2 linked regions of the Danio rerio genome follow. The protein of the gene in region 1 interacts with the protein of each later gene in a pairwise test. Links are inferred from orthologs where the notes say so. Each region holds a gene or a part of one and is shown on either strand. Other genes may lie near its edges.

What was found.
Region 2: the proteins of kifbp (region 1) and dok2 interact in a two-hybrid assay, tested with the Homo sapiens proteins (2 studies listed by BioGRID and IntAct). The two-hybrid records come from large-scale screens. The link is inferred for Danio rerio from reciprocal best matches to the Homo sapiens genes KIFBP and DOK2.

The regions. Positions count from the first base shown.
Region 1 is NC_133188.1:26,245,483-26,249,867, forward strand, and holds the start of kifbp (KIF-binding protein), read right to left. Parts: upstream 3,057-4,385; 5' UTR 3,044-3,056; coding exon of another isoform or gene 2,597-3,043; intron 2,494-2,596; coding exon of another isoform or gene 2,395-2,493; intron 2,316-2,394; 5' UTR 2,265-2,315; intron 1-2,264. UniProt on the Homo sapiens protein: Activator of KIF1B plus-end-directed microtubule motor activity. Required for organization of axonal microtubules, and axonal outgrowth and maintenance during peripheral and central nervous system development.
Region 2 is NC_133183.1:51,030,172-51,034,000, reverse strand, and holds part of dok2 (docking protein 2), read left to right. Parts: intron 1-785; coding exon 786-917; intron 918-2,124; coding exon 2,125-2,292; intron 2,293-3,829. UniProt on the Homo sapiens protein: DOK proteins are enzymatically inert adaptor or scaffolding proteins. They provide a docking platform for the assembly of multimolecular signaling complexes. DOK2 may modulate the cellular proliferation induced by IL-4, as well as IL-2 and IL-3.

The sequences.
Region 1 (4,385 bases):
AGTAATTTTGTGAAAGAGAAGATATAGTGTATGTCACTTATGATTTCTATATTCTCCGCTAATAGTAACTGACTCTCACAATATCAACGAAAATTCAACAGACGTTAAGCAAGGTCCCAAATCATCCCTCACCAGTGTTGCCAGATTGGGTAATTTCCTGCCCAATTAGGCAGTTTGTATTTGATTGTGCAGGTAAAAGAAAAAAAATTTTTGACAAAATTTGGGAGGTTTAAAAAAATATAACTTTTATATGCAACTTTAATATTCAACAAAACATAACTGTGTGCTCCTACTCCGTTCAGTTAGTAGTGACTGGTGCATAGTGCAAGCCGAGTGGGCCCACCCGTAAGAGGAGGGGAAAGAAAGTCCAAGGACAAATCTGACTCGCCTTCGTGTGCACACGCATTACGCAGCGCCTGCAGTTAAACTCACAGCACTTTATCATAACACTTATATCGATCTTTTTTTCCACAATTGACAGCAAGAACAAACACAGAAGCATTGTCTGATTGACAAGCAGCCCCTAAATATGTTCAAAAGGATTTAAAACACCAAATAGGACAAATTTATACCCCATTTCGTAAAAACATACTCTAACATTAAGTGCAGTGCAGTGTGTGGGTGAGAAGGAGGCAGTGTTTCGATGTGATCCAGTTATGTTTTGGTTCTGTGACTGCAGGTGTTGGTTGCTGTATGGTTAAAAATTATGACAGTTAAAGTAACCAGGTTAATTTCGATTTAAATTAACTAAAATAAAATAAAATATTAATATAATATTTTGGGAGTTTTATGTGCATTTCCGACAGCTTTTGAGCTGGAAAAATCAGCTTTACCTGGCAACACTGCCCCACATCATTAGGGCTGAATGGGCTGTATGCACAGCTAGTGTTTTTCAGCTAATGATGAACTTCTGATGACAGGTTTATGTGACTATTTTCAATTTCATAATTAATTCAAATATAATCAGTTTATTAGACTTAAGCATTCATTTGGTTGTTAATGCATAAAAAGAGACTGTTTAAACGCAGGTGCCTTCATTAGCAGCAGGCCAGCACAGATGCTCCATTGAAAATACTGGGGTAAAATTAATTTCCATATTTTAAAGACACGGTGTGGTAAAAATATAATTAAATGCAGTGCTTCTTTTTTGGTCGGATACCCATTTTATATCTTATCTCAGCTAGGCATTGAAGATCGTTGTTTTTTAAAGATATCAGATCTTTAACACTGCAATTTTGTATGGGATGAAAATTCACCAGAAGCCCTGGGGCTGACTGAAATTAAAAGTTTGTGTGCACATACCCCATCTGAGTAAACAGACAGTAGGTGCGTCCCAAATCACATACTTTTGCACTATTCTACGCCATTTTGTAGTAGAAATAGTGTAAGTAGTGCGTTCACACTGAAAACTCTAAAAATAATAAGTGCGCTCTAATTACTCGGATGATGCACTTATTCAACAGATAAAAGTAGGTGTGTAATGATGGACACTTCACGCAATTCACAGTCGCTGCCTTACTTATGGTAGCGGGAGGGGCGGAGCCATCGGAGGCACATGTTGGATATATTTATTTTGGATTATGAAAGCAAAATTCTCCTCTGAGAGAGATTATACCACCTCCCGATAGTGAATGAGGTTATACTCACGGCAGGTATTATGTGGTTGTTTGGTCATTTATTTGGAAACCGTCAAACTTCATCAGGGAAGCGGTTTGAATTTCTGCGTAGTGTTTCATTTGGGACGACACTACATACATATACTATGCTGTTGGAAGTGTAAGTGCATAAGTACATAGTGCATAAGTGCATAGTGTGCCATTTGGGACGCAGCTAGTGATTATCAAGTGCACTCATTCAGTCCCACAATGCACTGCAATAGTGTACACTTACAAGGTTGTGCATCTTGACAGAAGATGGCGCCCAGAGCTCATTCCAGTAGATCCATTTTAATTGCTGGTCCACTGTGGGTACAGCTAAATATCATGAAGCCATAATTTCTGATTCAAGTTGTTATTAAATAGTTTAATTTAGATTTACACATAGATAAATCTAATCAATACAGCTGGAGCTCCCAGATTACCAAATTTCACTCATTCAAGTGTGAAGGCTGTGCCAGGCTCTTGCTGTGCTAAAGATTTAGGTAAGGTTTTCAGTGTCAGTGGTTGCTAATATGATTTTCACTATTGAGAATTTGTAAACAATATTTTTTTGTTAAATATTATTAAGGAGAAAGTCCGACTGTGTGAATGTAAAACTAACTTTACCTCAATACGTCATAGCAACGTCATGTGGAACTCGCATCTGACGCTCTGCATCTGCAGTTGTTGATGGTAAGGAAGACTTTGACAGCTGAAGCTCACACGCATCACAATCAAACAAACACGCATAACACACCTCTTTCATGTAGACCAAATACATCGTTTCGGCAATCTCCAGAAATCCTTGTGCTTTTTCAATCTCATCTCTTCCCGCCCACAAAATGCCGAGCTGATTCTGTCAAAAACACAATCGTCATACGTCAACCAGCAAGAGAAGCACGTTTATTGAGTCATACCAGGCTTTTTAGAAAATAATAATCCATGTAGTGTGAATTTACCCGGACATGTATAAATAAGGAGACGTTCTCCCGTGTTGTGGTGCACTTGTCAATGAGCTTCATGCAGACCATGAGGTGCAGCTCTCCAGCCGACAGCTCCTCCGTCTCTATGTGGTTCACGCCGAGATGATATTGCAGCACCGCGAGCCTGGCCGCTCTCAGGCCGGCTGCAGAGTCTCCAGTGAACGTTTTCTCAAAACCATCCTCCGGCTCACCATCCGCCGTTTGGCTGGACTCACAGTCCGCTTCATCCCCAGCCTCGCCCTGCTCCTCGATTTCAATCTTTTTCAAAGAACAGTGGATTTCCTTCAGCAGATCTCTGGCTTTGTATTTCGATCGGAAAGGGTTATTCTCTGGGTCTTTTTTCGACTCTATTTCGGAAAGCTCTTGGGCAAGGCGAAATTTCTCGCACACGGCCCTCCACTCGATACTGTTGTTGGCAGCCATGTTTCCCTCTAGCAATAAATAGTGTTCACCAGCAGAGGTCAGTCCCGAGACACAAGCAACGCACAGCTAGTAGTTTTAGTTTACTTTAGTTACTTGTTTATTTAAAATATCATATTAGTTACTGATTCATTTAAAATAGCATATGAAATGATCTCATCATAAAGTCTCGATGTGACTAGTACTTATTATGTGTCTGTTATTATTGGCTGGATTTACTTTCCGACTCTCTGTTCTTTCCAGATTCTCTGGCTCCATCTACAGGTCAATGAAAGTCAGAGATGTAAACAAACAGGCTTCCTGTGGGGTGTGAGTTGTTGGCGGATGTGGCAGGTGAAGTACTTTATACATGGGCTTGTTCCAGTACCCACATTTGCGGTTTTTCCTCCGTGTGGTCAAAATATCTCAAGTGTAAAGTCCCCGTGTTACTTAGAAATAACAGATTCTGAACCATCTAAAACAAGTTGTCAGTAATCTAATTAAAGCAATGTCTAAATTACTTCCCTATACTGGGGGAAAATAGCCTAAATAAAATTCTCTTAACCATGTTCTGTAAAATGCAAATTATGTGGAAGTAACGTTGTTTCTTAATCTTTGTCACTTGAATGTTTTATTATGTTTAACTGTGTGTTTAAAAGTTTACTTATTCACCACCAAAGTAAGCCATGCTTTAAAGTGTATCCTTAACATTTAAGTAAACAACAGTAGTTTTTTGTTATTGTCTGTAGCCTATTGTGCCATAGATACACAGCAGCTATTGTGCCATAGATACACAGCACTCACAACATAAGTGACCTAAATTAAACACAGACCTCAGTACTTGGTACAACACACAATAATGAAACCGTCATGTTTTTTGCAGTGTGAAGGAGTTTTTTTTTCAATAGAAAATTAAGCCCATAAGTAACTACATATAAGAAAAAAGTAAATAATTGGAAATAATGAAAATGGCTTAATGTATGATTAGAACATCTTTGCTTAAAAGTATTTTTTTGATATTTAAATGAATCATTACAAACAGTGAAGTGATGCAACTGATGCCTGTAGGTTAGATGATAATGATAACTATCAAATCTATTCTGCATACTCCACATTCATATAACAGCTACATACTTTTTAACGTGTGCTTAAAATAAATACCTGCTAAAAAGTGTCATGAACCCCCTTCTTTCTAAAGTCTATGGTGGAGTGCTGTGAGCAGAAGGGAGGAGTGGGCAGAGCAGGGAAAAAAGAGGGGGTGTACAACTGTCAGTTGGCTCAATAACAATTCTGACACAAAACATGAGATGGCATGATTTTGTTGTTTACAAAGTTAAAATGCAAAAGAAATAAACAGTATTTAAAT
Region 2 (3,829 bases), on another chromosome or scaffold:
TTAAAATGTTAAGTTTAGTATTCTATTTCTTTTTTTTTTTACTTTTAATTTAAATAATTTTACATGACTATTTTGTGGACTAATTTTACTATGTTTTAATTTAGGTTACAACATATATTTTATTTTACAGTCCTTAATTTTAACACATGTAGCATTAGAAATTTTGTCACAACATTAATTTATTATTTAAATATTTAAATATTTACCAAACATTGTTTAACAGAGCAAGGAAATTTTCACAGTATGTCTGATAAATATATATTTTTTCTTCCGGAGAAAGTCTTTTTTGTTTTATTTTGGCTAGAACAAAAGCAGTTTTTAATTTTAAGGTCAAAATTATTACCCCTTTTAAGCTATATATTTTTTCGATAGTCTACAGAACAAACCATCGTTATACAATAACTTGCCCAATTACCCTAACCTGCCTAGTTAAACTAATTAACCTAGTTAAGACTTTAAATGTCACTTTAAGCTGTATAGAAGTGTCTTGAAAAATATCTAGTAAAATATTATTTACTGTCACCATGGCAACAATAAAATAAATCAGTCATAAGAAATGAGTTACTGAAACTATTATGCTTACTAATCTGTTTAAAATAAACATTCTCTCTTTTAAACAGAAATTGTGGAAAAAAAAAAACAGGGGGCTAATAACTCAGGGGGGCTTATTCTGACTTCAACTATATTTATGTAGCTTGGATAAGTTTAACAAAAGCTGTCTGATAGTAAACATTCTGAAATATAAAAAATATGTAAGTTGACTCTCAACCTTCTCTCTGTTTCAGAAATGGCGAAAGGTCTGGTCTGTGTTGTATCGAGAAAGCTCCTGCTCTATCTCTCGCCTTGAGTTTTTCGAGATTAAAGATGGAACCCCTAACACGCTGGAGAAAGCAAACCGCAAACATGAAAACAAAAAGGTAAAGGACAGCCTGTGGAGCTCAAATTTTCCAGAATAAAACACATAAGATGTGGCGTATTTGAGGAGAGTGATGTAATTCAAAATCTACCACGGTTTATGAATAATCAAACCAGTTATGGGTCATGCGTTACGTGTGGGAGAACAAAATTTTGTGGGAAGTACCATTAAACATGTGCCTATTTCTGCTATGATCCCTTCTACCAAAAAAAAAAAAAGGACTTTCACAATTGTAGTATTTTCAAAAATGAAAGCATGTGGATGATAATTAGTTCTTGATAATTATGAGTCATGTTTCAAATTTGCAAAAACAAATATTATTAAATGAAATGTACTATTATAGAAAGACAAAATGGCCAAAAAATATGTTATTAAATAAAATATAATATTATGGAAAGCCAAAATGACCTAAATGCAATATACCATGATGGCAAAATGGCCAAAATAAATAAGACTATATAGGAAAGCCAAAATGGTCAAAATAAAATATACTATTAAATGAAATATACTATTAAGAAAGCCAAAATGGCCAAAATAAAATATAATATTATGGAAGGCAAAAATGGCCCAAATTCAATATACTATTATTGATAGTAGTAGTAATAGCCAAATAATGTATTATAAAATGAAATGTAATATTATGGAAAGCCAAAATGGCGAAAAATATATAATATCATGGAAAGCCAAAATGGCCAAAAAAATATATTATTATGGAATGCCAAAACGACCAAAATAAAATATACTAATTTGGAAAGCAAAAATGGCCAAAATTTAATATAATATTATGGAAGGCCAAAATGGTCCAAATTCAATATAGTATTATGAAAATACAAAATGGACAAAAAATACAATATTATGGAAAGCCAAAATGAGCAAAAAGAAATATAATACCAGGAAAATGGGTGTCACAATGGCACAGTGGGTAGCACGATTGCCTTACAGCAAGAAGGTCTCTGGTTCAATCCCCGGCTAGGTCAGTTGGCATTTCTGTGTGGAGTTTGCATGTTCTCCCTGTTTTCGCATTGCTTTCCTCCGAAGCCGAAAAGAAAATGAATGAATGAATTAATATGGAAAGCCAAAATTCAATATACTATTTTAATATACTATTATAAAAAGGCTAAATGGTCAGTATGGAATATTCTAAAAGATAACAAGCTGTGTTGAACTTAAGTTTTATTTATTTATTTTATTTTATTTTTTTTTTACAGGTGATAAAAATGAGCGACTGTATTCGTGTTTCGGAGGCTGACGTGGAAGGCTGTCCACGGGATTGTGGGCCTTTTTTGGTGGAGACAACTGAAAAAACATTTGTGTTTGCTGTTGAGACAGCTGAACTGGATGACTGGATTCAAAAACTGTGTGAAATCGCCTTTCCGGTATATATTTATAATATAATATAATATATTATTCCGGTATATATATTAACCATGGAACATTGCACTGGAAAAATGCTTTTCTTACTTTTTCTTATTTCTAGTCAACATTTTTAAAAATGCTTAATTCAAGAAGTGTTTTCTAGACAAGCAAAAAATATTTATTTTATTTCTTTGGGTCTCGCTATTCACACTTTCAGATTCGTGAGTTTATATCTTACAATTTTTGTTCGTCTGACAAGTCTTACTTTGTTTCCTTTTTTTTCTGGCCCTGGAAAAAAATAATAAATAAATAATATTTATTATTATTATAATGTATTCAAGTGCAAACCAGATCACTCGACATTGTACACAGTATAAAACAGTTATAAAATAGTCAAAGTTTTTAGTTTTTGTCTTATTTTCATGGGATTGTAACCAGAGTTGTGCTTTAACTCCTGAAATCTTTCAGACATTTTGTGTTTACTTCTGCTGTCTGCCAAGAGAGATTGTCTTTGCTGAAAGCTTGTCAGCTCCTTGTGCTTAAATTTCTGCAGACATGAAATTTTAGACTGCAGCAGCTCGCCACTGTTTTTTGTCATCTAAGCAGATGTAAAAACCCGTCAAAGCTGATCAGAAACTTGCTCATATGATTCATCGGGGTTCTCATGCTAGCAGTTTAATGCTTGTGCAAAGAAAAGCTTCTGTTCACCGTGACCTTGCTCACTTGTGGCTTTAAAAAAGGGAAGTTGTTTGTATAGTTTATCACATTGTATGGTATTTTTGCATTGTGGGTGATATAGGAAGTTAATAGGTAGTTACCATGACTTCATGGATGCAAAAGGACAATTTTTTGCTCTTGCTCTGGCTGTGAGTCAGACTAAATGCTTTGTGGTCTTATATGAGCTTTTTTGGTGCAAAGTGTCAAATGTTAAGAGAGTTCCTCTTCCTATTAATTCTTATTTTATCACTTCAGCAGTTCCTACCAGGTCTGAGTTCACATCTTTTTTGATTGAGTTTTATCACCTGTAACACTTTTTATGGGTGTCTGAAGTACATGTGGGTGATGCTTGGGTGGTTACTAAAGTTACTAAAGTTTACTCTAAAGTGGCTGGAGTGAAGTTTTGGTTCCAACAGTGCATAAAACAAACTATTAATGGCTTTCAAACTCAGTTTTTAACATTTGAACTAAAGTGGATTTTGAACTGAAGTTTTTTTATTGAAAAGACAATGGGATTAAGTAAACAATTGAAACCATGTAAATCATTTAATACAGATAAATAAACGTTTTATTTAATAATTTAATTATATCATCTATTTCACAGGTGTCAAACTCGGTTCCAAAAGGGCCGCAGCTCTGCACAGTTTAGTTCCAACCCTAATTAAACACACCTGATCAAACTAATTGAGTCCTTCAGGCTTGTTTGAAACCTACAAGTAAGTGTGTTGGAGCAGGGTTGGAACAACTGTGCAGGGCTTCGGCCCTCCAGGAGTTGAGTTTGACACCCCTGATCTATTTCATTTATATAAGTGAGGATAGCAAAATAAAGTAAACTGTGAC